Tamandua tetradactyla: one gene and its partners. The protein of the gene in region 3 interacts with the protein of the main gene of each other region in a pairwise test. Links are inferred from orthologs where the notes say so. Each region holds a gene or a part of one and is shown on either strand. Other genes may lie near its edges.

The links.
Region 1: the proteins of CCDC33 (region 3) and PIN1 interact in a two-hybrid assay, tested with the Homo sapiens proteins (2 studies listed by BioGRID). The two-hybrid records come from large-scale screens. The link is inferred for Tamandua tetradactyla from reciprocal best matches to the Homo sapiens genes CCDC33 and PIN1.
Region 2: the proteins of CCDC33 (region 3) and LMO2 interact in a two-hybrid assay, tested with the Homo sapiens proteins (2 studies listed by BioGRID). The two-hybrid records come from large-scale screens. The link is inferred for Tamandua tetradactyla from reciprocal best matches to the Homo sapiens genes CCDC33 and LMO2.
Region 4: the proteins of CCDC33 (region 3) and ZBTB8A interact in a two-hybrid assay, tested with the Homo sapiens proteins (2 studies listed by BioGRID and IntAct). The two-hybrid records come from large-scale screens. The link is inferred for Tamandua tetradactyla from reciprocal best matches to the Homo sapiens genes CCDC33 and ZBTB8A.

The regions. Positions count from the first base shown.
Region 1 is NC_135337.1:91,911,429-91,918,563, reverse strand, and holds the start of PIN1 (peptidyl-prolyl cis-trans isomerase NIMA-interacting 1), read left to right. Parts: upstream 1-4,116; 5' UTR 4,117-4,166; coding exon 4,167-4,224; intron 4,225-6,143; coding exon 6,144-6,350; intron 6,351-7,135. UniProt on the Homo sapiens protein: Peptidyl-prolyl cis/trans isomerase (PPIase) that binds to and isomerizes specific phosphorylated Ser/Thr-Pro (pSer/Thr-Pro) motifs.
Region 2 is NC_135334.1:110,238,882-110,246,684, forward strand, and holds the start of LMO2 (rhombotin-2), read right to left. Parts: upstream 3,006-7,803; 5' UTR 2,999-3,005; coding exon 2,992-2,998; intron 2,869-2,991; coding exon 2,640-2,868; intron 1-2,639. UniProt on the Homo sapiens protein: Acts with TAL1/SCL to regulate red blood cell development. Also acts with LDB1 to maintain erythroid precursors in an immature state.
Region 3 is NC_135338.1:67,862,167-67,869,632, reverse strand, and holds the start of CCDC33 (coiled-coil domain-containing protein 33), read left to right. Parts: upstream 1-4,458; 5' UTR 4,459-4,501; coding exon 4,502-4,573; intron 4,574-7,466.
Region 4 is NC_135328.1:193,360,882-193,368,588, reverse strand, and holds the start of ZBTB8A (zinc finger and BTB domain-containing protein 8A), read left to right. Parts: upstream 1-4,693; 5' UTR 4,694-5,085; intron 5,086-7,707. UniProt on the Homo sapiens protein: May be involved in transcriptional regulation.

The DNA of each region.
Region 1 (7,135 bases), on a different chromosome or scaffold from region 3:
TCCCTTTCAGAAAGTTTCCAAATAATATAGATGGAAAGGTAAAATTAAGAGATCCCACTGGAGCACCACAGGGGTAATTGCTGCAGGCAAGATCCACTGGTAGATGCTGAAGTGAGTGACAAAATTTAAGCAGAAGTAGGAGGTTTGCATAGTCTCAAAGTATGACTCTCAAAATGCTTGTTCATTACAAAAGAGGAAAATAGTAAGTATAGATACCACTTTAATCAAGTGATCAAAGTTAATATCATCAGTGTGGTAAGCAGTCTCTGAGATGGCCCACATCCTGATATTCTAACCCTTGTGTAATCCTGTCTTCGATGTGGTCTGCATCTGGTTTCTAATGAATAGAGTATGACAAAAAAGATGGGATGTTACTTCTGACAGTAGGTTGCAAAGAAACTGCAGTCTCCATCTTGCTTGCTCACTCTTGCTTTTTTGCTTGGTCATTGATAAAAGCTGGCTGCCATATGGTAAGCTGCTTTATGGAAAGGCCCCCAGCCAACAGCCAGCAAGGAACCTTAACACTCAGTCCAGCATCCTCTGAAGAGCTGAATCCTGCCAACAACCATATGGACCAGCTTGGAAGCAGGTCCTGCCACAGTCAAACCTTTTGATGAGCCCGCAACTGTCCATGCCAACACAGCTAAGCTGTGCCCAGATTCCTAACCCAGAGAAAACAGATAATAAATGATAATCCACTAAGAAGTGGGATCATTTGTTTGCAGCATTAGATACTGTACTATAATCAGTAATAAATTTCAGCATCATCTATCACCTGATAATATGCACTGAGAAGGTCACATGGATTCTGTGGTATCCGCAATATGCATAACCTTGGCTAATCATGAGAAATGGACTAACGCATCATGACAACACATCAGAATGAGGGAATTCTATCCTTTAAAAGTGTCAAGGTCATGAGAGACAAGGGAAGAGCCTGTGGTTTAGTTAATAGCATTGCACCAATGTTGATTTCTTAGTTTTGATGACTGTTTTAGGCCAAGATATCCCAACCTTGCCGCTGTTGACGTTTTGGCTGGATACTTCTTTGTTGTGGAGGCTGTGCATTGTAGGATGTTTTGCAGCACCCTTGGCCTCTACCCACTTGATACCAGTAGTGTTCTTCCCCTGCCTCCACCACCATTTGTGAGAACCAAAAATGTCTTAAGACATTACCAAAAGTCCCCTGGAGAGCAAAGTCATACCCAGTTGGAGGCACTGCCCTATTTCTGTGTAAGATGGTATCATAAGAGAAAGCTGGGTGAAGGGTTAGGGGAACACTGTACTGCATTTGTACCTCTGCTCTAAGTCTAGAATTATCTCAAAAATAAAAGTTCTTTCTTAAAAATTGATGCTAATTCATGCTTGTGAAAAAAGACCCAGGGGGTGCAAGGGTAGTTCAGTGGTAGAAGTCTCACCTGCCATGCAGAAGAGCCGGGTTCAATTCCTGGTCCATGCACTTCCCAAAAATAAACAAAAATTCAACAAATCGTGCTGCAATAATGGGATACATGGAAAAAATAATGAAATGTGACCCCACCATACAGCATACCAAAAAAAAATCCAAATAGTATATTAAAAATTGAGTTTAATATCTTTATTCACTCTCATCACCAAATCATTAACACGTTTGAACAAATTCCAAAATTTTCTGATTCAAATCTATAGTTTTTACACAGTTGAGATAAGTATGTATGTTTATACTGTTTGCAGATTGCTTTTTCACTTTATATTTTTGACGTCTTTCCATATGCAATCTATCTCAGTCTTTTAATTGGTACCCATTTTAGTTTCCCAGCTGTTAAAACAAATACCGTACAATGGGTTGGCTTAACAGGAGTTTATTGGCTCAAACTCTCAAAGCCTAGAAAGCTTGTTTGCTCCCAGGGTCAGTATCTTCTGGCTGACTGGCTGTCTTGGCTTTTCCACCCCATGGCAATGTGCATGGCACCTCTTCTATCTCCTCTGGGTTCCCTTGACTTCCAGCTTCTCACTTCCAATAGCTTTTTCCTTCTATATCTGAATTTCATTCTGTTTATACAGGACTCCAGTAATGTGGATTAAAACTCAACCAGATTGAGTTGTTTTGAAAGTGTAGCCTACTCCAGAAAAACCACGTCCTTTAATCATGATTCAGTATTGCAGGGTGGGAACCTTTGATTAGATTGTTTCCATGGAGATTGACCCACTCAATTGTGGGTATGACCTTTTTGATTAGAGTACTCCCATGAAGATGTGGCCTGCCCAATTATGGGTGTGGCCTTTTGGTTAGAAGATGTGGTTCCGCCCATTCAAGGTGGGTGTTGATTCGTTTATGGAGTCCTTTAAAAGAGGAGACATTTTGGAGGAAGCTGAGAGCTGACAGAGATGCAGACACCTGGAGATTCTTGGAGGGCTGACAGCATATAGTGGCTATGTACCTTCCCATGAGGTGCCAAGCTAATCAGAACCCAGAGTTGTGTCCTGGAGGAATTAAGTGAAGACACTTAGAGAGGAAACCACTCGAATCAGAAGCTGGATGCAACGGAATCAGGAACAAGGACCAGCAGACGCCAGCCATGTGCCTTCCCATGTGACAGGCTTTCTTGAGTCAAGGTATCTTTCTCTGGATGCCTTTAGTTTGGACATTTTTCTGGCTTTAGAACTGTAAGCTTTGTAACAATAAATTCCCTTTTTAAAAGGCATTCCATTTCTGGTGTATTGCATGCTGGCAACTTTAGCAAACCAATACACTGATTCAGTTGGGCTACACCTTAACTGAAGTGTCATCTTCAAGATCCTATTTACAATGGGTCCAAACCCATTAGAAAGTGGACTGAGACAAGAACATGTCCAAACTGGGGTGCAATTCAACCTACCACAGTATTCTTTATTAATGTTTTTGTTTTGTTTTGCTTTCGTGCACATTATAATTGCTCTGCTGAGCCATGACTTGCTTTTTTTCACCCAGCATACAATACTGACATTTTCATACCATTGCTATGGGCCAGGCACTGTTTTCAGTGCTTTATCTGAATTAATCCATTTACTCTTCACATCGAACTGGTGAGTATATATACGTATATTTTTTGGTCTCCATTTTGCAGATGGGAAGCCCAAGCACAGAGGTTAAGTGATTTGCTCAAGGTCATAGCAAGGTACCGCCCCCATCCTGCCTCGAATTTGTCCTGGACCTGCTTTCCCTCTGCCTCATTCTTTTCAACAGAAACCCACGCTTTAGATGAACTATAATTGAACTCTCCCGGTGGGTGTCTTTGACTCCCATATCATCTCCACCCTGCAGTGCTCCAGTCCTGAGTCCTCATCCACCTTCCCAGTGCCCCACGGGCACCGCAAACCCAACTTAAAATTGGCTCAAACCAAGCTCATCGTCCTCCCCGGTTCCCACCCGCGCCGCCCCCCACCCCCCACCCCCCAGGACGGAGGAAGGAGCGAGGTTGAGAGGGAATAAGTGATGGGAGCAGGTCCCAGAGGAAGGGGACGGTGTCAGGAATCAGTAGCACAGACAGGGGTTTAGCCTGGCCAAAAATAAAGGAGGGCGGGTTGGCTTTGGACTTCTGGTTGGAAACAGGTGGGAAAAGGGAGAATGGAGGAGCCTAATTTAGGTTTTGGGCTCCCAGCTACTCGTCACCAAGGCGACTGCGTTGCTATGGCAACAGCAAAGGCAACACCGCCTTTCCCAAGAACCTTGTCGGCTGCCGTTACCCCCACACCCGGCAAACACTTCCCCGAGGATAGCAACCAGGGGGGCCTGCGGACCTCTGGGGACGGCTTGGGAGGGTGGGAAGGGCCGCCTCGGTGGCCAAGCACCAGGCTCCGGGTTGCCCGGCTGGGCGGCGAGGCAGCGACGCCGCGATCTGGACTCTGAAGCTCGCCAAAGAGCGTGGAGAAAGGCGGGCCCGCATCATGACCCACCAATCAGAGGGACGGGGCGGGGCGGGGGTGAGGCCGGTCGGGGGCGGGGCCTTAGGGAAGGCAGGGGTGGGGCCGCCTTCTCTCTCTTCTGCCCAATAAAAAGCCTGGCAGCGAGGGCCGACGGCGGGGGTGGCCAATAAGCGTTGTCTCCAGGCCCGGGGCGGGGCGCGTCGAGCCAATCGGCGGCGGCAGTGGGCGGGTGCGGGCGGCGGCGCGGCGGAGGCGGAACGGGCGCTGCGGAAGAAGGGAAGATGGCGGATGAGGAGAAGCTGCCGCCTGGCTGGGAGAAGCGCATGAGCCGCAGCTCAGGTGCCGCGGGAGTCGGGGGCGGCCGGGGCCGGGGCGGGACCGCGCGGGCCCGCGAAAGCTGGGCTCGAGCTACACCTGGGGCCCCGCGGCGCTTCCGCCTCTTTCCCGTGGGGTCTTGGTTCCTCCGCGTTGTCCCCGAGTAACGGCCCTGTGGGGCCTCTGAGCCTCGAGAGCCAGGAAGCCGGGGGAAACTGAGACCGGGGTGCGGTGGGGAGGGGCCAGGGAGCCCGCAGCTCACCCCCGGACCTTGGCCCTGTCTCTGCCGGCCCTCATGCGCCTGACGTCCCTGTATCCCTTCGGGCTCGGAGGGCATCCCTGGAGAGGGTAACCCCATAATCCATGCCCGGGGCGTGGCTTCCTCGAAACACCCTTGCCAACCACACTTAATGCACGGTCTGTGATATCCACCGCAGAAACCCTGTCTGAGCACGGGCCCTGCGTGGGGACCCCCCCCCCCCCCATAACGACACCAATATCAGGCCACGTTCATCTCTGCACCAGGCAGAATCTCCCCAACTCTGGGAACTTGACGGTTATTGCCCCCATTTTGCAGGGCAGGACACTGAGGCCAGAAAGCTTAAGGAACTCTTGCCCGTGGTCATTCAGTTTAGGGGGTAGTGACTGGATTAAATCCAGTAAACTGGATTATATATATCGAAGAATCTTAGTTTTTTGATAAAAAAATTAAACCTGACTCCCGGGGCCCTCCCCAAAATCATGTCACTGCAAACTTCATAGGAGCCCAGCAGCTATCTCCAGAGCTCAGAGGAACAGCACTTTGCATGCATCTTCATTGACTCTCTCTCCACACATTCACCCATGAGGTTTGATGTCCTTATTCTCTCACCCCCACTCTTCAGATGAGAACAGTGAGGTTCAGGGGGATAGATCTCATTGCAGAAGGTTTTGTAGTCAGTGACTCACCTGGATTTGCCCCCAGAACCCGAGCCCTTGACCTGCCCCCCCACCTTTGCCTGTGTCTGGGTCCTGTGGCATCAGCCTGATGCTCTTGCCAAGCTCTGGGTTCCCCCACTCCTGACAGTCACCCTCAAGGGTGACCCCCTGCCCTATGCAGCACTGGGCCTGAGTCTTCTATGTGACTCAGGCAAACCCTCAGCCCCTGGGATAACAGTTTTCTCTACTGGGTCCTTCAGGCTTGTTTGCAGACTTCACTTGTACGTGCTCCTCAGTCCCTGGGTGGACCATGGCCCCCGGTAATGCTGGTCCCTGCTTCTTCTGCAGGAGATTATACTGTGCCACAATGGAGAGCAGAGCTTTTGTGTACAGTTCCTGTCTCGCCCCATGCCCCCATCCCACTCCCTGACCTTGGAGCAGAGTAAACAACTGAGGAAACGTTACCCGCTCTTGCTCTTACCACAGACGGGGAAGCAGGGCCTCAGTTTTGCCATCTATAAAAGGGAGGTAATTCTTACATTCTTAATGCATGCCAGGCTCTGTCCTAAGCACTTTATAGATGAGCACTCATTCCTTCCAACAACTCTACAACAGCAACTGTTAGCTCCATTTTACAGGTGGGAAACTCAGGCCCAGGAAAGGGAGAGCATACATACTTTCATACAGTGAACGAATAGCAGAGGTGGATTTGAACCGTGGTGGCATGGCTGTTGAGTGTACACTTGAAACACTCTCCTGTTTTGCTCTCTTCTGTCCCTCCTGGGTTATTTTTCTTTTTGAAGTTATCGATGACTGAAGTTGTCTACTTTGCGTCTTTAGTGCCCGTTTGTCCCCACCTAGTATGTTAACTTCCTGAAGGCAGGGACTGGGTGCTGTTAGATTAGCCCCAGTGTCCCCGGGGCCTATGCCACATGGCAGACACACCATGGATGTGCCAACTGAACACTGGCCAGTCTCTTATCCTGACTTCCAGTCAGCTGAACTTCCACCTCCCTCCCCTCCAGGCCGGGTCTACTACTTCAATCACATCACCAATGCCAGCCAGTGGGAGCGGCCCAGTGGCAACAGCAGTGGCAAAAATGGGCAGGGGGAGCCTGCCAGGGTCCGCTGCTCACACCTGCTGGTCAAGCACAGCCAGTCACGGCGACCCTCGTCCTGGCGGCAGGAAAAGATCACCCGGACAAAGGAGGAGGCCCTGGAGCTGATCAATGGTGAGCACAGCCAGGCACAGGATATCAGTGGAGAGTCTTCACTCTAGGGAGGGCTGGTGGGAACGGGCCTTGTGGGAATCAGACCAGACACTCAGCCCCAGCTGTGAGGTATGGCATGACATGTCACTGCAGGACCTGAGCCTGGCACCCATGGCTGCCTCTTCTTCTCACTATCTGGCATTTCAGGTGAGCCAGGGTAGGCATAGAGGACCCAGCCCTGGAGGCTAACAGATCTGGGGACCCCAGGACCTTGGGGGACCTTTGTCACTGCCTGTCCTCCAAGCTCAGTTTTCTCCTCTGTAAGTGGGCATCACCATGCACCTGCCTCCGAGGTGAGGTAGTGTTGGGCACACAGTCGGCTCTCAGTTGTGGAGCTGTTTTAGTATCATCCAGCAGAGCCCTGGGTCACCTGTGTGGGCAGGTGGGTCCTGAAGGTCATAAAGGTCACACACGCAAAAGGAGCCTTTTGCGTGAGTGAATTCTGACCTGAGAGCGGAGGCTATTCCTAGCACTGTTCTGTCTCCTTCACAGTCTAGAGCAGGGATTGACTTTTTTCTTAAAAGGGTAGATGGACAAATAGTTTTGGCTCTGCAGGACATAAGGTCTCTGTTGCAGTGGGAAGGCAGCCAATAACAATTCGTAAACAAATGGTCGTGGCTGTGTTCCACTAAAACCTTATTTGCCAAAGCAAATGGGGTTTGGCCCATCAGGGTTTGCAGAACCCTCGTCTAAAGCTGTCTAGTATGGCCACCACTATCTACATGAGACCGTTTAAGCTTAAATTA
Region 2 (7,803 bases), on a different chromosome or scaffold from region 3:
TTCACACTCTGCAGATGGAGAGAGTAAAGGACTATATAAGGACACTTCATGAGATTATCTCCTTTTAGAACGAGGAAAGGTGAAACCCAAGCCAATTAAAAAAGAAAAAGGAAATCAAGCCCTTAAATAGTTGTAATAATTTACAGGCTTGACTTGCTTTACTATTCTTTGCCTCTACAGATCATACATAAAGACTTCCATTCTCCCTCTGGAAAAATAACTACTATGCCCAGCATTTTTATGTACATACATTTTATGTACATCTGTAATCAGAATGCAGCTCTTCTCATTCCACGGGCCTTGATCTTACTTGGGGCTTTCAAAACACTCACAGAACCTCCACCACACTGAATGCCCCGGTGCTGACACTGCCAACCAACTGTGAAAGAGGAGAATTTGCACTTAGCTGGTGCAAAACTGCCTGAAATTAAAATGAATTGCTCTTGTGACTCATAGGGAGGCGGTAAGGGGCACCGAGTGCATCCTAAAAGATATCTCCAAGCTCACAAAGTCTGGCTGCCCTTCTGTCTAAATGTTGGGTTTGCCTGAGCCTGGGCAAGTCTCCATCTGGAATATGGAGATGCTAATGGTAATGACTCCAGTTGGCTTTGGGTAAGTATGCAGTGAAGCATCTATCAGGATAGTGGTCCGCAGTAGAAATATTAAGCAAAGGAGCTATCACGATGGCCTGAAATGAAATAGTAAACACAGGATAAGATACTGGCTCCATCTGTTAGAGTTTATGATAACATCATGCTGTCCATGGAGGACGTTCCAAGCAAAAGACTGAGTAGGATTCACCTTCAAATTAATGTTTTATGTTTTCCTAGAGCCTATCCTGAATATTACACCTGAAAAATCACTTCTGCCTGGATTTCTGGGCATAATTTATCAACCTTTTCTGGGAAAGAGGGGGAAAAATGTGCTGGCACCATTTCCTCAACTAGCTTGTCCGTCTTCAGTTAGTACCTGTCTTCACTGGAAAATAGTGAAGAATGGAATAGTTAGTGCCCTTCAGTTAGGTGCTTGATGTATTTTATGAGGCTAGGATGCTTCAATTTTCTAACCTCAGTGAAAAAGGAAAATTTTGAAAAGACTAAACTTCCTTAGGGAAAGTGAAACCTCCAGATTTGTCTTCTAATAAAAGGATTAGTGACTAAGTTTTGGCTGGTCGAAAGGGCATTAGCTACCAATTCATCCAGTTCACTCTCTTTATTACTATGGTCTTGCCCAGTCTCTGGACTAAATTGTAATTCTAAGTTTGTTAAAAAAAAAAAAAAAAAGTGAACAAACCACCCTTTAAACTCATTGTTTGCACAGATACATACATTTAAGTAAAGGAATGTTATTTTTCTCTTGAGAATTAGTCCAAGGAAGCTGGGGGTTTGTTAACACAAACCCGGCTCCTTACAGAACTGGTGTCTTAACCTTTAAGATTGAATAGTGATGTTTATATTCTCGCTGGATTGTGGCACTTCCTGAGTTTTATGAGAACATGCTGAGCTTTCATGTCAGTAACTGAGGGTAAAACCCAGGTAAATAAACACCACCAAGGGCTGAAATTGGTGGGGTGGCGGGAGACTTCTAACAAGAAAGCACAATTCTTTAAAACAAGAAAAGAAAAAACCAAAACAAACGCCTCTTAAGAGCACAAATGGACAAGTCATTAACCAGCTGCTTTGGTCTGTGTAACAAATCCCTTCAAAGGATTAGATGGGGACTTCAAAGGAATAAAAATTCTCAAAACCAGACAGTTAATGAATCTTAAAAGGGCATTTACGTTGACGGGAAAATGAGATCTTAAACAACCCTTTCTCCCCATGTTATCACCAAAGAATGGGTTGGGGGTGTAAATTGGAAATAGGGGAACATTCCAAGTCAGTAGGAGGCTCAGAAAACAGACGCGGCAGATGCTCTTGGGAGTCCTGGTTCCCCGACTCTAAAGCCTTTGGAGACCATGAAAAACCCACGAGACTCCCCGCCCTAGAAAAATTCACCTATACACAAAATGGTGCGCTGCCCTTCGAGATAGAGAAACCCCATCAGCGGACCCCAAGAAACATGAACTCTGATTAACTCCGGATTTATCGGCTCTAGAAGTGTCTGGAGGCCAGAGTAGGCTCGGAAGTGGACGCTGGGACCCCGTAGGCGGCGAGGCACCCGCGCGGCCCGGGGTCGCTCCACCTGCGGGCTGGGAAGGGGGCCGTGGGGGGTGCGGGAGGCCTCCACTCGGAACGTCCCCCTTTCCAAGACCAACTGGACAAAGAGAAAGCGGGCCGGGGCGGGGGGAGGCGAAAGGAGCAGAATCCAGCCCTGCACTCTCGCCTGACCTGCACCTACGCGCCTCCGAGCTCCCCCGGTGCCCGCTCCGGTGCAAACTTTCTGGCCCGCGGAGGGCTCGCGGAACGTCCCAGGCAGCCGAGAGGGGCCCGCGGGGTGCAGGGCCAGAACCCCTTTCCCGCACTATCCCCCGCCAGCCCGAGAGCAAGGCGGAGGGCGCCAAGGGCACGCCGCGGGCGCGCACCTGAAGCCCCTCGCGGGGTGGTGGTGCTGGTGGGGGGTAGCCGTGCCACCCCACTAACCACGGGGCGCGAGGCCGTGGAGAGCGTGGGTGAAAGCGACAGGGGTGCCACACTCACTCAGACGGGTCCAGGCTCTTCCTCTCGATGGCCGAGGACATTGGGGAGGGAGGCGGCGTGCCGGACGGGGGAGGCGCTCCCTTTGTGGTGCGGGGCTGGCCGGCTGCCAGGGCTCGGACCCCCTCGGGTGCTCGGGCGCCGCCGCTGCCGCCGCTCTTGCGCCTCCGCTTGCTCGGGAGCTCCGGCGGCGAGCTCGGCCCTCCGCGCTCAAGGACAGTCACCGCGCTCCCTTCAAACGCCAAAGAGAGAGAGCGAATCACCGGGCTGCGGGCGCGCCGCGGCCGAGACCGGGGCCGGGACGCGCAGCCTGGCCCGGGGCATCTGCAGCAGCTGCTGCCGCTCAGGACTTAACCTTCCATCCCGGTCCCGCCGCCACCGCCACCGCCCGGTCCCGTTCGCGCGCCGTCGCCGGATCCGCGCCGCCGGGCCGCCCCGCGCCCCTCGCACCTTCCGCCCGGGTCGCAGCGCGCAGCTCGCCGCGGAGGGCAGGGAGGGGGCGGCGGGCGGGGAGGGGCCCGTGCGTCGCGCCCCTGGGCTCCCTCCTCGCCGGGAAAGGTCTATTTTCGCTCAGCTTCCCTCTGTCTCTGGTTTCATTTCCTTTTTCCTGATCACGATTCAAATACAATAGAAGGAAATCACATTTAAAGAGACAGCTGCCCGGCCATCCTCCCCCCCCTTCCCCCTCCCCCCCTTTTTAAACGGGGCTCCTGGGGATTAGCAATACAAACAGCGGCCGCGCAGGACGGACTTCGCTTCTTAAAGGGGCCAGCGTCAGGGACCGGGTGAGTCGCTCGGTCAACACCCCCTCTTTGGAGAGGAGGCTGGGCTGCCTCTAAATCCTTTAAGACTCCCCCTCCTCCGCGTTGCCCTTTCAGTTCAACTAAGGCTGAAAGTAACCAGCGGGCAGGTCGAGGAAGAAAGAAAAGACAAGGAGGTGAAAGAAGCACCTACAGAAACGCAAGCGTTCGGAGTGGCTTCCTCGCCCTTCCGGGCTTCGAGGTCCCCCGACGCTCCGCGCGAGGATGCCCGGGACAGCGCGGCTCGGCTGGCTGCTAGCTGGTGGCTGCGTCCGCACTCCACGAAGGCAGCTCGGGCCGAGCGGGCTGGGCACTGCCGGAGCTGTGCCAGGGGCAGCTAATCCCAGAGGAAAATCGGAGGGGAGGGATCACTCGGGTCGGGGTCTCGTCTCCATCTGCCGGCTGACGGAATTCCCTCCCTCAGCATCCTTGAGAAAGTGCACGGAGGCGGACCCCTGCGGTTCGACTGCGCACCCCACCCCCTGCCCCCATGAAATACCAGTAAATACCCTGCACAGCCCACTGCTTTCCCCATGATCAAGAGCAATAGGGAGGTCGTTTTGTCCTGGGCCAGGGAAAGGGAAAGAAGCCAGACCTGATGTCAAACCTCGAGAGCAACATCTTGGAAGAGTGAGGAATGCAGAGGAAGGAGAGAGGAAGAAGCTAATTGAGTCTGCCCTCCGGTAGAGACCAACTTCAGTTCCCTGAGCCTCAAACTTGGAAATGTCTGCCTTCAGAAATGATGATTAAAGGCCTGTTTCTGCCTGATGCCAGTTATAAGTCTTGCAAAAATGAAACCACCGAGAATTTTCAGAATCCATAGTTTTCTAGGCTCCCTCTGAATCATGGTCATAAGCATTTTATTCCCACCTTAAAAGTTGGCATTAAAGCGTCCTGAATAGGTTTCCCCCAATGGTGGAGGCTGAAATCAGAAGTGACTCCTTGGTCACTTCATTTTCCCTGGTCAGAGCCAAATCTTCACTGACTTCACAAGTATAACCAGAATTTACTGTTGTCTAGCATCGATCACTCTTGTCATTTTTCTCATCTTCAGGTCCCAAGGCTTGAGTCTCTGATGAGTATAATTAAAATCTCTGTGTATGTGTGCTAAAGGAAGTCCAAGGCCAAGACCTTCGGTACATAGGAGGACATTTTCCTGATCAGACCTTTGTTTTTAATTTAAGAAAGAAAACCCCTAAAATGTTTAGGCAGGCCTAAAGTATGTGATAAATACATAACCTATGACTCTACAACCAGAAATCAAAATGAACATGCAGGTTGCAATAAGTGGTTTACCTGGTTTAATCAGTCCATGTGGTTAAATATGAGGACTTTGGAATTGGGCTGCCTGGATTTGATTTAGGCTCTCACTTGTCAGTGTGGTCTACGAAAGTTACTTAATTTGAGAAGGCAGTATTTTGTAGTGGCCAAGAGTACAAAATCTGGAGCCAGAGTGCCAGTGTTTTACCCCTCCTCTTCTCAGCTGTGTTAACCTGGGCTAACACAGGATTTTAACCTCCCAGTAGCCTCATCTGTAAAATGGGAATAATAGAACCTATTGCTTGGGATGTTATGAAGATTAAATGAGGTAACACATGCAAGCATGGTATTTAGACTTGACAACAGGGTGAGAGTTATAATAGGACCTCCTCATAGAAGTTTGCAAAGATTAAATGAGCTATGAGCTTATATGCATGGAAAGCACCTAGCACGTAGTAAGAGCTCATAAATGGCAACTGCTATGTTATAATGAAATGCTTCATTGAGAGAATTATAAAAGAGCTTGAAATTTAATTGGAAAATGGGGCTTTAAAATAAGACTCTCCCAGCTAAATTCAAAAGTATTCTCTACATTGAAAAGGTAAACAGACCTAGGGTGCTTACACCTCACCCCTACTGCTCGTAAACAAAACACGTAAGCTTTTTCCATTTTCATGTTCATTATCCTGGTGACTAGATGATATGTTTGCATCTGCTTGCTTTGATTAAATCTGATAAGTTGCTACCTCCTTTCAAACCAGTTGTTAAAATAAATCTATCCTTGGATTCCAGGAGGTAATCTCAGAATGGCTAACTTTTTGGCATAAAATTTCCTTTTAGTAATATGCTTCTGCATTGACCTGAGTGTATAAAAAAAGAGAGATTATTGCATATGATTCTGGGTCACTTTCTTATCTTTCACAACTCTTTGGGGAGAACTTCCTTACAGAAGGTGAATGTTTGAAATGGTATCTTAAGATTTCAATTTCACACACAGTGGTTGTAAGAAATAACTGCCTACCGGTGGGATTTCATTTCTATTCAACGGACAATTAAGTCGCTCACGTTTAAGTTTAACATTTAGAATCAAGTCTCAAAAATGTGTTTTTATTCTGAATAATTTTTAAGCAAGGATGACCTTAATGCTACACATCTTCCTGTAGCAACCGACACAGGCTTTGTACAGCAGAGAAACTCAGTAACTGGGAAGCACTGTGGACATGTGAAATGGTTCTTGAGTGCTGGGGAAATCTGAACTTGATCCCTCCCCGGTTGGATTGAAATTTAATTCCTTCTCCTACTCCCCAACTGCTTGCAAATCTTAAATACCCTAAAATTGAGAAATTTCTACGTTTTCTTACAGAATATGAATGTCAGAAGACTGAAGCTGTCTGCATGATGAATTTGCCTCCCGCCAGCATTTTCTGTTCTTTTGATTATAACAGTTACAATTATTTTCTAGAGAAGAGCATTTTCAAGTGATGAAGGCTACATCCCTTGTAGCCTTCCCTTTATAATCCCTTTGCTAAAATGAACTTCTAATAGAAATGAAAATGTAAATATCATTGGGAAACTGCCAAGAATGACAATTTACCTCTTTTTCTCCCCCAACAATTAGAAGCCAAGTTGTAACATATGCCAGTTTGTTGTGACATTCACATTTAGGAACAAAAATAAAGATCTATCTCAATATGACTTTAGCTCCCTTTCAAAATTCTTCTAAATTATTCAGTTGTCACAGGTATCTAGCTCTCAATCATTTCAGAAGGGTTCAGGGACAGTTGATAGGACGTGATTTCACAGAATTTTAGACCTATTAGTAACCTTAGTGATAAATTAGCCAAGTTTCCTGTACATTACAGAAGAGCCCTAAATAAATCTTAAAAAAAAAATTCTTACCAGCTGAATCTTAGGAGAATGAGCATAGGAGTCAGACAGGTATAGCTCGGTTATTTACTAGCTGTGTGATTTTGAGAAGTTATTTCACCTCTCTGAACTTCAGTTTCTCTGTCAAATGGAGGTAGTAATAATGTCCAGCAGGTCCGGTACTAGGGTGAGGTCACAGGGGTACCTGCTCACCTCTCCAGAATTTTGAGATGATTCAATACAATAAAGTGTGTTAAAATGCTTTGCACAGTAAATGCTCAGAAATGATTGCTCATGTTATTACCCTGTCTTTCAGAAGTAATCAGCCCGGTATCGAAAAGCAGCAATTTCCTAGCCAATTGAGATATCCTCCAAAGAATGCTGAGATGGAGGTGCTACAGAAAAATCAGAAGCCTTCTTAAAGCATCAGCAGCTCTCTGGCTGGGGAGCCCACCTCTCCCAGCCAGAAATAAAGGGCTGTGCCCATTTAGGCCCTGGGCAGGCTTCTGGCTAATCTGCTGCTACTTTAACCTGCTCCCCTTGCCACACCGCCTGCTTTTGCCACATCCCTGATTTTATCCGTCTTATTTTCTACCTCTAACAACATTGTTTACAGAGCCACCTTTTACAACTAAGAAATGAGGCAAAATTAAGTGCTGAAGTGACTGTCTCAACATTTCACAATTTCGTAGGGAGATATTAACAGAGTCCCATGTAATTTTCCAGCTTGCTCCTTGGAGTCCCTACGGTTCTAAGACACTTCCCTAGCTGGTTTTGCCCACCCCTGCTCCACCTACTGCACCTCCACCCTTGTTGACCTTGACCGTGGGCATGCTGCTCAACCTCTCTGCCTTCAGCTTCCACATCTATAAAATGGGCGTATTCAGAATACCTTTCTCATAGAGCTGTTTAAAGGATTCTGTGATATATAAACATCTAATGCACTTGGAAAGGTGACTGGTGCAAAGTAAACTCCTGTAGAAGATTTTGCTTATTAAAGATATGCCAGCTTTAAAATGTTTGAAAAACCATTGATACATCATATCCTTTGATGAACAAAGTAAACGAGAGACATAAAGCCAACAGCCTCTTCTACTTCTGCCACATCAAACTCACTCCTGCCCTTCTGTTTTAGATCTTGGACCCTGAGCTTATTTGCTGCTCCAAATTCAAGAGGGAGTCAGAGCTGGGTGAGCTGGGCTCACGGAACAAACTTTGTGCTCTTTGCTTGCTCGTGGGAT
Region 3 (7,466 bases):
CCCAGAAGCTGGGCAAGAGGCTGCGTGGACAGCCATGAGCCACCTGCCCTGACCCTTCTTGCTGCCTGGCAAGCCCAGTGCCAGGCCAGCCAAGGAAGCCTGGCTCGGGGGACCTCGCCTTCCCCCCAAACAGGGCTCCAGCCAGCGGCTTGCCCCTCCCAGAGCTGTGGGCTTCCTAATGGCTGTGTTTAACCCCCGGACCCTCCAATAACGCTGCTTCCAGCACTTTCTCTTCTTTCTGCACTGCGGCATGTGGTCTCAGCCTCGGGGGAGTAGGGTAACCTATTAGCTGTGAGATTAATCATTACCTGCTTCCCCTCCTCACACTGGACTCACTCTGAGTCATTAAAGCTTGGGGCTGCCCACTGGGCAGGGGCAGAAGTTTCCTCTGGACATCTGGGGAGCAGAGGAGGCTCATTTCCCTGGGGTGGGGGTGGGGGGAGGAAGGGCAGATAGAAATGTGAAGTAGCTTCTATCAGTCTTGTCGCTAAGTAGAAAGCCCACCCCCAGCCCCCAGGTTGAAGGACCTCTCACTGATGGTGGGAGGAAAGGAAGTAGTTCTGGGTGGAAGGTTGGGGTGGGCCCAGGAGCTGGTGTCCCTGGGGTCCTTTGCCCCAGGAGATGGTGGAAGGGGCCCCCTTCTGGTGACTGTTGAACGTGCAAGGGCCCTCTGGTGCTCTGGAGCCAGCTGGCATAGAACCAGCACCCAACTGCATTCATTATCTTCTTCCCAGGCAGGAAGGCCACAGGGCTGGGGGCTGTACCTGCAGAAAGCTCAAGGAAGCTGAGTGAAAGGCTTGTGCCCAGGGGCAGCCCTAGGAAGGGTGGCTGGATGAGGGCTGGAGGGGAGGAGATGCGGGGCAGGGCTGGGACTACAGTGGGGGGAGCCAGGTGGGCAGAGCATGAACTTCAAAGGGGCGTGCCCTGCCTGGGAGCATTCATACAGCCCTGCAAGTGAGTGCTTCCTTAAAGCTTACTCCTTAGGCACCTTGCTAGCCTCTCCCATCCTGCTGTGGACTCCTGAACAGGGACAGGGTCAGTGCTGGCTGCCCACCCATTGAACTTGCTGCCTCCTGGATGAAGCAGGCCAGGGAGGGAGGGCAGAGGCACTGCAGGGAGCTGGAACCGGCAGCTGCATCCTGCTCGGCACAAGCTCCATGTTGTGACAGTGCTGGTCCAGGAGAGAGCGGGACCAGCCCATCCATTGCCGAGGGAGGTTCGTGGCCCCAGAGCCCGAGGGGCACCACCCTTGGCAGGCCAGGAGGGGCAGAAAACTGGAAGCGAGACTCCTGGCTCCCATCCCCACCTGTCTGTGTGACCACAGCCAGTCTTTTCAGTTCTAATCAAACATGGGGCCTCAATTTTTTTCTGTCTCTAAATTGGGAAGAACCACATCTTCTCTGCCTCCTTCTCTGGAGTAGAGGTGAAGGGAGAAGCTGGGAAGCCTCATCAAAGCTCGTCTCCTGCCTCCTGCCACCGTGGTGGGCCTGTCCGTGGGTCACAAACCAAGGAAAATGGAAAGTGCCCTCAATATGGGATCTAAAACAGCTGGCAGAATGAGGCAAGTAGACAACAGGGGTCTCCCAAATACTTCCAAACTCTAGCCCAGGATTCCTGATCATCCATCAAGGCCAAGTCCAAACCCCACCTTCCCATGAGCAGCCACCACGCCAGGTCAGGGGCTACTCACTCCCTATTCTGACATCTTGCTGCACTTAAAAGCACTTAGCGCTGCGCCTCACACAGAAAAAGAAGTTATCCTTGTAACAATTTTTTATGGAGCTCAGAATTGGATCAACCATAATCTTTTCTTTTTTCGGGGTGGTGGGCAGGGGTGCATGGGCCAGGAATCAAGCCTGGGTCATGGCAGTCAATCATTCTACCAGTGACCCATCCATGCACCCTATAACCATAACCTTTGATTTGCAATCCAGTGCCATTGTTGACCCATATTCGGCCTTCTTTAATTCTTTAATAATTTATTTTCAATAACGTAATCAACACCCAATAGGTGACCCACCAATCTAAGTAACAGAACATCATAGATAACGTATGTTTATGGGTTCTCTTCCCATTCTCTCCCCCATCCTCCCACCTCAAGAGGAAACTGTTCTCTTAACTTTTGTGTTTATTATTGTTTTAAACGAAGCACCCAAGAGGTCAGGATGGCTGCAGATTCTTTTATAGATATAGCTGTTTTCCTGCCAAACTGATGGCAGTGCCTCAGTCCCCTCCTTTCCTGTAGTGTGACATGCGCGGGGCTTGGCACATAGGGTGGTTGGGGAATCTTGGTTGCCTGGCCATTCCAAGAGCAGGAAGTCTGAGGACCAGGTGCCAGACAGTAGCAAGGATGCAGCTCTGAGAGTCAGGAAATGGGCCTCTGATCCCAGCCCCCTCCACTGGACAGGGATGGGTGTGGCTTCGTCCTGCCTGTGACATCACACAGTGTTGCCCAGGTGACCCCGTGCAGTGGAAAAGCTCACTACTTTTCTGGGTTCCGGGCAGAGAGAGAGCCACTCCTGCCTTCACCTTGGGAGCACCAGGAGTCAATTGCCTGGCTTCCAATCCCCGCCCAGCCAGCTATGGCCCAGACCCCCCTCGGCATCTGTACCTATTAGCCCTCTTGCTGCTGAGAAAGACCTAGGCCCCACCCTACCCCACCTGTCCTTACCCCCCACCCCCAAAGCCAGTGTATGGCACCACTGGCGCACCACTGATGCTCTGTACTGTCCGTCACCCCCATAGGCCCCCGTGGTGCCTGGGCCAGCTGTCTGGACACGACTAATGCCTGGTCACCCATCAGTCCCAGGTACCAGTACCCAAGATTGTTAAACAAGGCCAAACACTCCTGGCCCCAAGAGGATGGGACGGAAAAAGAAAAAGGTGAGGCCTGGGGGCATGGGACACACCCCTGCGTGAACTCACCTCTCCTTCAAAGTCCCTTGTTTTTGTTTCCTCCTATATCATGACAAGACCTCCCTTCTCTGAACCGCTGGTTTTGCAGCTATGAAAGGTGGAGTGGGGTGAGGTGGTCTCTGTGGCTCTTGCAGTTTAGGTATCCTGTCCTCCTGGGCTGCATGGGATCTGAAATAGGGTGTGCTCACAGGTGATGTCAACTAACTACCCCTACCTGGTTGTTTCTGCCCCAGGCCGAGGTTCCCGTGACCCAGAGAAAAGTGCAGTTTGGCCTGAGTTATTGCACCCACACACAACCTGGAGAGGGGCTTGTACCCTCTTGTTGCTGAGGGCACATGGGCCCAGAGAGCCCACTGAGATGGCTCATCATCACTCTCCAAAATCTCCCAGGAGACCCCAGGCTCATTATTCTGCCATCTGCTTTAGACCCCTTTTTTTTTTTTTCATCTCACACCCACCAGAATGGCCATTATCAACAAAACAGAAAAAGACCCCATTTTGAGGGCTCTTTTCATCAAACTTGGCCCTTTCTCTGGCCTGCAGTGGAGCTTCTCCAGCGGGGTGGCTTTCAGACACAGGGCTCTTCTGGAGGGTGGAACTGAGCTTCTTTGCCTCTCTTGGTCTTCCAGATTGCTGGGAGGAGAAGGGTCGTGAGGGAAAAAGGATCTGGGGGATGGAGGAGTTTGTCTTCTTCCATCCCCACCAGAGCCAATTTTAGGCCCTGACCATGGGAGTTGAGTCTAATGGGCCATTAACTCCTCCGTTGCTGGTCCTGTCCTCCCCCAGCTCCCCCAGTGCTCCCAATCCAAAAATGCCTTCAATAATAGACAGTCCCAGTTACCCCCAGACATCTGCTGGCTAATCTGGTTTACTGAGGGCAAGGCAGCCAGCCTCGAGGGTTAAGGTGTTGGAAATAGCACCTTCTCAGCCAGCCCACGGGCCAGGTCCTGGTGGAGTGGTGGAGAGTGCTGTGCTTTGGACCCCAGCAGTCTTCAGGACTCATTTCTGGCTCTGCCATCCACTGGCTGTGTGGCTCTAGGCAGGTAAACCGGCCTAGAGAGGTGGACTACTACTTTCTCCACCCTAGTGGCGCTGGTGGGTTAACTGAGAATAAGTCTGAAAAGCAGATGTAGCATCCAGCTCTGCTCTTGCCCAGAGGAGGCATGCAGCAGCAGAGGTGAGTTCTCTCCCAGAGCTCATTATACCCCCACCGATGGATCTGTGGTACCTGAGACATGGGGGTTCTTCACCATCACCCACAGTTCACTCCCCAGAATGTGCACCCCCCACCCTCTGACACATTCCCCCAGTGCAGCCCTGCAGGGGGTGGGGGGTGGGGGAGGAACCATTGGTCCTGATGCAAGCATGTCTCTCTCTGAGGGAAACCTGCAGATTCCCTTTCAGATGTGGGAAGGAAAGAGGGACGGGCAGAAAAGTTCCGGCCCACAGCCCTGCCCCTAGTCTGGGCCTCACACTTGGCCCCAACCTCCCTGGCCTCGGGCCCAGCCTGCCCAGTGGGCACCTGCCTGCTGGCCTCACCGGGAGGCGCCAGCCTGGCAGCTGGCCTCATGCCCAGAAGTGAAGCATGAATATTCTCTCCAAACCCTCTGCAAGCTTTATTTCCCAGAAGACTGTCCCAGGGGGAGGCACAGAGGCGGTAAGAGGAAAGGACCCAATTCCTGGTCTGAGCTTGGCATTTTGAGATATAACCTTTCCCAAAGGTCAAAATACATGTTCTTGGGCCCTCACTTCAGTGAGTTTAGGGGGCGAATGACAGGCCCTGTGCTCTCTACAACAAGGAGTTGGGACTGCCGTCCCAGGCGGCTCCTGGGAATCTGGGGGTGGGTGGCGCATCAGTCACCTCTCCGGGCTTTACTGCAGGAACCTCTGATCAGCCAGGGACCCAGAAGACTGAATCAGAAACCATTCCAGATATTCCCCTTGGCCAGGCGGAAAAATGAGGCTCAGAGAGAAGAGGACAGGGGGGTGGAGGCACAGCAAGGCTAAAATCCACCTCCCTGTCCCCTCCCAAGCTAGTCAGGGGCCCACACCTGCTGGGGGGGTGGAGTTGGCTGTGGCGGGGGGGGGGGGGGGGGGGGGGGGGGGGGGGGGGGGCATAGTGAGTACGGACCTTGGAAAGGAAGCAGTCTGACCCTCGAGGGAAGGGAGGGAGCAGTGCCCGGGCTGTCCCACAGCCCCTCCATCTCCCCTCCACCAACTGGAGCTCCCTATAAGCACTGGCCTCTCCCACCCCCACCCTTGCCTGGTAGGAAAATAGAGGAGAGGGGGAGGGGCAGCTCTCATTAACACCTCTGCAAATGGTGACAGTCCTGTTGGGGTCTGGAGGGAGGGGGAGGGGCACCCTGCTCAGTCAGAGGAAGGGAAGCCCCCCCAACCCCTGCTGCTTGCCATTAGGCGAGGGCCACTGCCTCCACCAGGAGGTCCTGATAGAGAGCAGAAACCTTCAGGAAGTGAAGGAGCAAGCTTCCAAGATGGACATTTGGGGGAAAAGCTTACTGGGGCAGAGGGAACAGAAGGGCAAAAGCTCAGAGGCGGGAGAGAGTTTGCTGTGTTCTGAGAAATGGCCAGGAGGTCAGGGGGCCTGGAGCACAGTGAGCCCGGGAGGACCAAGAGGAGGTCAGTTCCAGAGGGCCGAACAAAGGCTCCAAGTGAAAGGGGGGCCACTGCAGGACTCTGAGCACAGGAGGACCACCCTGGCTGCTGAGGGGTTGGAGTGGGGTGGTGGGTGGAGGCACGGCAAGAAAGGAGACAGGGAACACAATCCAGAGGCGAGTGTCTTGTACGGGGCGGTTGAAGTGGCGATGGTGACAAGCGGTCAGACTCTAGATTCAGTTTGAAGGTAGAGCCGACAAGATATGCTGCTGGCCGGGTGTGCGGGCAGAGAGGGGGAGAGACGGATAGGTGAAGGACACTGAGGGTCGGGGCTTAAACAACTTGAAGAATGGAGTTGCCCTTGAGTTGGGACAGACTGTGGGAAGAGAAGCTTGAAGAGACAGTAAAGGAGTTATGGAGTTGGGCTTTGGCTTGTTAATGTGGAGATGTCCACCAACCCTCCAAGGGAGGCTGTCAAGGGGCCATCTTGAGTAGGCTGGGGCTTCCATACCATCATCCTGAAAACTGAATGAAGTAGCTAATCCACAAAAGGCCACAGGGCCAATCAGAAGCTCAAGCTCTCCAGCCTTCCCTTCGGCTCCTCTCTGGGCCACGTTCCTTCCTCCATGTAACAAGACATGGTCCTCCATGATTTCCACGGACCTTTCCCCCCTCCACCAGAGGCTGCCCTGGAATGCAGGGTCTGACAAGCTGAGCTTTCCCGATGAAAGGATCAGCCTCCCAGGGGCTCCCTCGGCTCCACCTGGAACCTGAGGCAGTCCACTGCCCCTCTCCTTGGCCCCCTCACATCAGCTGGTGCCTATTAATCAGCAGGAGGGGAGAGGAGACCTGGCCTTCTGCCAGGTGAGGCCTAGCAAGGGTGAAGATGGGTCAGCTGTGTCACCCTCAGATGCTGAGTGGAGAGAGTCAGCCAACCAGTGCAGGGGGAGAGCCAGGAGACCCTACCCACAGCAGGCCCACCTCCACACCCCATAGTCAACCCCATAAACATTCCTCTGGCTCCCACCTCCCCAGGTCACCCACTTTCCCTGACTCCCCACTGCTGCCAAGGCTTAACTGAACATGCTCCGGACCTCAGAAGCCACCCTCCCTGCCTTTCTTAGGTGCTACCCTGGCTCACCCTGTTCTACTTTCTGGCTTGTCCTTCTGGCTCCACTCATGCTGAGTCTCCCAACCCTTCCTCTTGCCAGAAGCCTTCCCTGACTGCTCTAACTGTGATTGCCTTCGTCTCCTGTCAGCAGCTCTCATCATGATGGTCCTTTGGCCCATGAATCCACAGCTCTTGAGCTGTTGAGCCCCTGCCACTGGGTCTGCTAGAGATGGCCAGCCCAGGAGGCCCTGTGTGTGGACGAAGGCCTCTTCTCCTTCCTGGCCCACAGGGTTCTCTGGGTGGAAGACAGATGTGGCATCTGGGATGGGCACATTCATTAATCTCCATTAATGTGTTCAGTGATGCCATGGATGTGTATACGTTTTGTAAACTGTAAAGTGCAGTGTGCAGGAGGGACATGAAGTGACAGTGCTTTGAGGTGAGGTGACAGGATGCCAGTTGCTAGGACCTCAAAAGTAGATGGGCTTTAGGAATTATAGGCAAGGCAACCTGCCAAAGCAAAGGCTTAGAGGTGGTAATGGACTTGAAATGTGAGGTGACCTGGAGCTGAGGATGGAGGTCTTGAGGAACGACAGGAAGTTAGGTTGTGGGGGCATTCCTGCCCTTTTCCAGCTCTCATTCTGACAGAGCTGTGGTGAACTGCAACAGGAGGGAGGCAAGGCAAGTTCTTGAGCCGAGGCGTCACAGGGGAGAATGGTATTTTAGACTGACAGAGCTTGCTACAGTCAGGGGCAGTTTGGAGGGGGAGACGCTGCAGAAAAAAGACAAACCAAGGATGGAAGAGGCAAGGGAGGGACTGAGAGAG
Region 4 (7,707 bases), on a different chromosome or scaffold from region 3:
CCAGTGATTATATTAAGCATGACTCATTGCAGAAGACACTCCACTTGGCTGATTACAAATGGAATCAGCTGTGGATGCAGCTGACATGATCATGATTTAATTCTATGAAATGTCTTTGTCACTACAGACTGGCCAGCACTTGACCAACCAGACAAACAGGTACCACCAACTTGGCCAAGTTCACATATGAACCTGACTGTGACAGACCTTAAAGCCAAAGCATAAGCAACAAAAGAAAAAAATAGGCAAATGGAAATTCATCAAAATTAAAAAGTTTTGTGCATCAAAGGACTTCCTCATGAAAGTAAAAAGAAAACCTACAGAATGGGAGAAAACAGTTGGAAACTGCATATCCAATAAGGGTTTAATTCCCAGAATTTATAAAGAACTTCTATAACTCAACAATAAAAAGAATAACAACCCAATTTTAAAATTGACAAAAGATATGAAAAGACATTTCTCCAAAAAAAAAAAGGAAAAAATGGTCAATAAGTCCATGAAAAAGTTCTCAACCATTAGCAATTATGGAAATGTAAATCAAAAGCACAATAAGATGCTATTTCACACCCACTAGAATGGTTAATGTTTAAAAAAACTGGAAAATAACAAGTGTTGGAGAGGATGTTGAGAAGTATGAACACTCATTCATTGTAGTTAGGAATGTAAAATCATGCCGCTGCTTTGGAAGACAGTTTGGCAGTTCCTTAGGAAGTTAAATATAGAATTACCATATCACCAGGAAATTCCATTTTTAGGTATATAACAAAAAGAGTTGAAAACAGGGATGTTGCACATGGATGTTCATAGCAGTATTATTTACTATAGCCAAAAAGTGAAAGCAATCAAAATGTGGTGGTTTGAATTAGTATGTACCCAAGAAAAACAAGTTCTTAAATCTAATCTATTCTAGTGGGTGTAAACTCACTGTAAGAAGGATCTTTTGATGAAGGTGCTTCAGTTAAAGTGTGCCCCATTTACTTTAGGATGGTACTTAATTGTATTACTGGAGTTCTTTATTAACGGAATGAGTACAGACAGAGGAAAAGCCAGGGAAGCAAGAAGCTGAAATCAATGAAACCTGGAAAAGAAGAGGGAGACCAGCAGATGCCACCATGTGTCTTGTCATGTGGCAGAGGAGTCAAGGATCACTGGCAGCCAGTCTTCAGGAAGAAAGCACTGCCCTGATTTGGACATTTTCCTAGCTTCAGCCATCTGCGAATAAATTCCCACTGTTTAAGCCAAGCCATTTAATTGCTTTAAACAGCCTAGGAAACTAAAACACAAGAGAGTCCATCAACAGATGAACGCGTAGACAAAGTATGGTATATACATACAATGGAGTATATAAAAAGCCATAAAAAGGAATGTTGTTCTAATACATGTGACAACATGGATGAAACTTAAAAACATCATGTTGTGTGAAATAAGCCAGAAATAAGAGAACAAATATTTTAAGAGCTCATTGATATGAAATAATTAGGATAAACAAATTCACAGTATCAAAACTAGAATACAGGTTCCCGGGGCCAGGATGGAGGGAGAGAATAGGGAGTTATTGCTTAATTGGTACGGTGTTTCTATTTAGCATTATGGAAAGGTTTTGGTAATGGATGATGGTGATGATAGCACAACTCTGAGAATGTAATTAACACCAGTGAATGATATAATTGAATTGCTTAAAAGGGGAAAATTTAGGTTGTATGTAATTATAGAATAAAAAAATGTTTAAAAGCCATAGAACTGTACAACACAAACAGTGACCCTGTAATGTAAACAATGGACTATAGTTAATAGTTTAATAATATTGTTTCATTAATTGTAACAAAGGTACCACACTAATGCAAAGTGTGAATAATAGGGATTCTGTGTGTGTGAGGGGGGCATATATGGCAACTACTGAATTACTTTCTGCATTATTTTTCCATTTATTGACAAATTCTCTAATAAAAAATTTTTGAGCAAAAAAGAAAAAAAAAAGATCATTGAGTGTATGGGAACTCTGTAATTTCTGTGCAATTTGTCTGTAAATTTGTCGGCTCTAAAAATAAAGTTCATTTTTAAAAGGCCACAGTATGACAGGAAAAGCCACAGCCCAAGCACTGGAGGCTATGCTAAGCAGCCATAAACAATAGCCAAAGTCACAACACAGAATTGGCCTGGTAAAGATACCACAACTGCTCTCAGCAAACAGACACAGCAGCTCGCAGAACCAATAACGCTAGAACTGGACAGCAGATGTTGCTACCAGTGGTGCGGCCATCATAGCCCCTGGAGATGTTATTTTGATGCAACTGCCACCACTGTCAGAGAGAATTTTTTGAGGTCCTTACTTGTTGGCATCACAGCTCCCTCTTCAAAACCCCTGGAGGGTGGATCTGATTATCAAAGCATAGACCATGGATCATTGTTCTAGCTGCAAGAGATTCTGGGAAAGCATGTCTCTTGCATTTCCAGATTCTACTTCACATCAATTATCCATGAAGTAGGGAATCCTCCAAACATATGAATCAGATTCAGAGGCCATGCATACAAAAAGAATGTGGATGTCCGATCTGAATCTCCAACCGACTGTCTCAAAGACATCTCAACCTCAACATGTTCAAGATGAATTTATAATCACTGTTGTCTTCCTACTCTACCACACACACACACACAACCTTGATCCTCTTCTAGTCTTTTCTCTCACAGTGAATGGGGCCACCATTGATCCAATAGCACAAGTCGAAGGGCTGGGAGTTGTTTTCAATGCTTCCTTCTCCTTTAGTTCCCATAGCTGACTTATTATTTCTAATATTTATACCTCTTCCACTTCTCTAGGTCCAGATCCATCTTTTCTTAGCTGGACCACTGCAATCTACTCTTCCCTTCCTCTAAATCTATTCTCCCCACTATAGCCACAGCCATTTTTCAAAAGGCTTTTCTCATCATGTCACACATTCCCCACTCAGCTTAACGAACATCAGGAACTTCCATAATTCTTAACATGGCTTACAAAACCCTGCATGGACTGGTACCTGCTTACCTCTTCCACCTCATCTCTCACCACTCTCACTCTGCACTCCAGCCTCATGTGCTTTTTATATCATGCTCCTTTCTACCAAGCACCTTTTTACATTTTATTCCTTCTATCTGGAATGCTCCCTACTAATCCCACCTTTGTCTATTAATTCCTACTTCAGATTTCTCATCTAAATCACTTCTTCAAGGAAGCCGCCCTAAACCTTACTGCTCCACAGAAGTCCCCATGTCTTCCATATACTCATATGGAAGACCTATGAATCTTTCCAGATGTCTTTCCTTCATGATTTATCAAAGTTTTGAATGATACGTGTATGTGGCCATCTGTTTTCCCCACTAGACTGCAAGTCCCATGAAGGCAGGGACCAGGTCTATCTTTTGCTCACCATTGCATTCACAGAACATTTACCCATCGTAGGTGCTAAATAAATAGGTTAATATTGGAATGAGTTATCTCCCTCAAGAATTAGCACTGAAGATACACATACACAACCCAGAACCAAAGACAGAAAGGAAAAAGAAATGAAAAGCATAAGAGAATATGTGTTGGTTAATGGTGGAGCACCAGCAAAGAGAAGCATGAACTCCTGCAGCTGGGAGGGTGAAGGTGAAGGAAAAAAATCTGATGCCCTGAGCTCCCTTGGACCTACTGGATCTTCCAGTTTCACTTTCAGGGAGACTAGCTTCACAGCTCTTTCTTCTCACTTCTCCCTTAACCAGTGGAATGATAAGCTCCCATTACTTCTCTTTATAATCAAGTTTGTCACTGATCTTATGTGCTCTTTTGAGAAACATATTGGTATAACTCTGTCCCATGTTTTAATTAACTGAGGCTAAAATGAAACCTTCTGTTATGACAATGTCCAGGTATTTCTGGGAGATTTCTCAATATGAGTGCTTGCAGAGCCTGATATCTGATGGTTTTCAAACGTTTTCACTTTTCTAAAACTAAATAGCAACACACCTCTGGAACAATACAGTAGGGACATTAAGAGATAGTTGAATATTTTTCATCCTTTCTGCAAAGGGTATGATCTTCAAAATACATAGCTAATTACTGATAAAACCAAAGTAATAAACTTTGTCCAACATGATTGATTATAACGTAGAAAAGAACCCATTCAAAAGCTAAATGTGTTTTGAAATTGGGTCTTTTTTTTTTCACTTTTACTATAATACAGTTCTTTTCAGTACTTGACCCCAATAAAAGGACTAGACAACTAATTTAGTTTCTAAAACTAATGCTTCTACAGTTACATGAAAATTAAGTGAATTACTATTTTAGCAAATGTATATCCTGATGCCTATACCCTAAACATTAGAGACATAAATTTGTCGGGTTTGATGGGCAATGAATGTATTTGAAAACAAAAGACATGCTATCTTTACTAATTGTATATTTTCTCTGAACTTAACTAAGAATTATGTTCTCTTATTTCAGCCTGTCTGGTTTTTCCTCTTTAAATGAAATACTTGTGACCTATAGAGGTTTAGAAAAGGTTATCTCCGAGTAAAATAACTGCTCTAATAAAGAAAATTCTGTGAAAAGCTTTTATTTTTGACGTTGCTAAACTTAAGTACAATAATGTCACATGTACTTATACAGTAATTGTGGGCACGCCTAAGTCCCTCCCTCTTTCCTAAACCAAATTCCCCAGATCCTAGAAATCCAGCCCTTCTGCCCTCCGGAGGCGCCTTTCCCAACGTAAACTACAATTTTAAATTTAAGCTCCTGACTATATAATGATTCCGCAGTCAACTGCTAGGGAATCTGGGCGCCCCAGTGCCTCTGGAGGGTGCAGCGGGGTGTAGGCAAGGACAGGGGGAGTGGGCGAAGCTGCTGGTTGGTGCCTGAAATCTGTGCGTTGCCCCTTTAATTGTGTCCCCAGCCCTCGGGCGTTTCTGTCCAACGCCCACGTCAGCAAATACCTTTTGTTTCTCTCACGTTGGGGCTACTTGTTTTAGGGCGCAAAGGAACGGCTTCGAAAGGGGGTATTACCCCTGCCGAGAACCAGGAATCCTCCATCGGCCCGCGAGCGCGACCCGCCGGTGCGCCACGGCCCCGCGGTAAGTGGCTGCGCGCGGCGCGGGCGGAGGGCGGGCGGGGCGTCGGGGCTGTCCCGGCCGGGCCCGCGAGCCTAGCTGCGGGCGGAGGCGCCGCCGGCCCGGCGGGCTCTGACCGCCCCGGCGGTGGGATGCGGGCCCAGGGCACGCCGCCCTCAGACGTTCCCTGCCAGAAAAGCGGCGGGAGGCTAGAGGCGCAGAGGCGAGCGGGCGCCATTTGCAGCCCCGGGCGAAGCGGGGGCCGCCACCGGCTCTGAGGGGCTGGTGACGGTCACAAAGGGGACGCGGAAAGATGGGGGCGGAGGACACAGCCTCAGGGCGGCGCCCGGGCGGTCCGCGGGGAGAGACGGGCGGCGCCGGGGCGCACCAGCTACCGTGACCACCCCGGCCCGCGCCCGGCCGGGTCTCTGTGCCCGGCAGGCAGCCCCGCCTGCGCGCCCGGGAGGGGCTGCGGGACAATGGCCGCGCCGTCGCCGTCCGCGCCCTGCCGCCCCCGCCGAGCGCGGCGCCCGCCTCGCCGCCCCGCCGGGCCGCGGCGCGGGGAAAGGCGGGAAGGCGCGCGGAGCCTCCTGGCGGCGGCGAGGAAGCGGTGCGGGGACCGTGCCGGGCGTGTCTGGAGCCGTCGGGCGCCGCCGACTCCCCGAGGGTTGGCGGCCAGCCGGGCACAGGCTATGCGGCTGAGTGGCGGGCAGCCCGCCCAATGGGGTGGCGCGGGGCGCGGGCGCGGGTGCGGGTGGGGCGGGGGTTCAGGGCTTCTCCCCGCGCGGCCTCGGGCACTGACTCCAGAGGGTGGCTCCCAGGCTGCAGCCCGAGTTTCTCCTAACATCCACCATCCTCTGGTTTTGTGACATGTTGCGACAGATCTGGGCTTAGAACCGAAGGCAGACTTACTGTACCTAACAAATGCTGAGCTTATAAGTATTTGTTTTATGACGGAATCATACATACACATCTTCTACTTAGGTCCTTTTTGTAAATTGGTCAGCGGTTTGGCCCCTTCTTCAGCAAATGCTCGCATTGATCCTGCCAATAGCCAGAGTCCACATCTTTCCAAGACGGTGTGGAAGCGGCGGAATCACAGCGGGCTTTTAACTACGCACGTCAGTACTTAGCAGGCTTAGAACCAAACACGTCAGTATCACCTCTTTCCTGGTTTTGCAGAATAAATCGAATTGTTTCACTTAATTTCAGTCTCCCAGTCATGCTGATGGTTATTCCATTTTCCAGATGCTTTACGCGCCCAGTTTCACTCCTAGGCCAGGAGGCGAATGAGGGCAACTTTCCAAAGGGCCCTGCCTTCTGTTCCCCACCTCTGCTTTCCCTCCGCCGGCACTGCCAGCCCAGCCTTCTAGAAGGGCGAGTTGGTCACATCTTAACATCTTCATCAGTATAGAATCCTCAGCAAAGGAATGGGCTTCTCTGGCCCCCTGAGTCAGAGCCCTTCACTGGTAAGCAGGGATCAGATCTCGTCTTTCCTGAGATTCCTCCTCAGGTGGGCACGTGTGAGGAGTCAGCTGCTGTAAAACGTCAGCAGGGGGCCACGTATGGGTGCACCATCCAAGGAGCTGGCCATTTAAACTTCCCACCTAACAAAGACGCCTGCAAGCACTCCTTAACCCGTAGCCCTTCCATCACCAGAGTTGCTGTGTGTAATAGCTTGGGCCCGGTAAAAATTTTGTGATACCTGATTCATCCTATATCATTTAAATCTTATTTTCTAGATAAAACAATTTCTATCTAATACACTTAACTCAGTGGCATCATGGTATGTTTATAATACTTGAAGGATTTGACAATTTTTTGATGCCTTTGAGGGAAATTTTTGTCACTTCTCTGTTCAAAACTGTGAGTGGCTCCCAGTTTCACGCAGATTAAAAGCCCTCTCAGTAGTCTACAAGGCCCTACAGTTGGTCTCACACGTTCCACCCCCACAATGCGCCCTCCCTTTCTGACTTCATCTTCCCCTGCTTTCACCATCCCTCGCTGAGGTTCCTCCAACCTGTCTTTGCATTGGCTGTTCCATCTGTCTGGAACTCACTTCCTGCAGATAGCCACAGGACGCTCCCCCCCCCCCCCCTTTTTCTCTCTCACACACACACACCTCTCTTCCTTAGGACTTTACTCAGAAATCCTCTTCTCAATGAAGCTTTCCCCACTACGATTTTGATTTTCTTAAATCAGTTTTATTCTTCATTCTAAATTCTAAATCTTTCCAGGGTTAAAAGATATTTACCCACCAAAGAATATAATTACTATTCCAGTTCATTGAAGTTCCTTATCACCCAGAGATTTTTACCTGGATTCTTTCTGGTAACCCCAATGAGATACACCAAGTTTTAAGTTAATGACTGTATATCTTAAAAGAAATAGTCTTATAGCCCACAGCCTTTTAAAATCAAGTTATTGTTACCTAAGTCTTTTGTCTAGTCATGGAAATACATGTCTTTTCCTTCTATTCCAAAGACTTTTGAACTTAAGGGTTCCTGAAGTATGCAATTGTGTTTTTCATCTACTCTTTTTCCTTTTGGGGGGAGGGGGGATACGTTGTCCAGGAATCGAACTCGGGTCTCGCATATGAAAGGTGAGCATTCTACCACTGAATCAACCATACACCCTCCATCCATT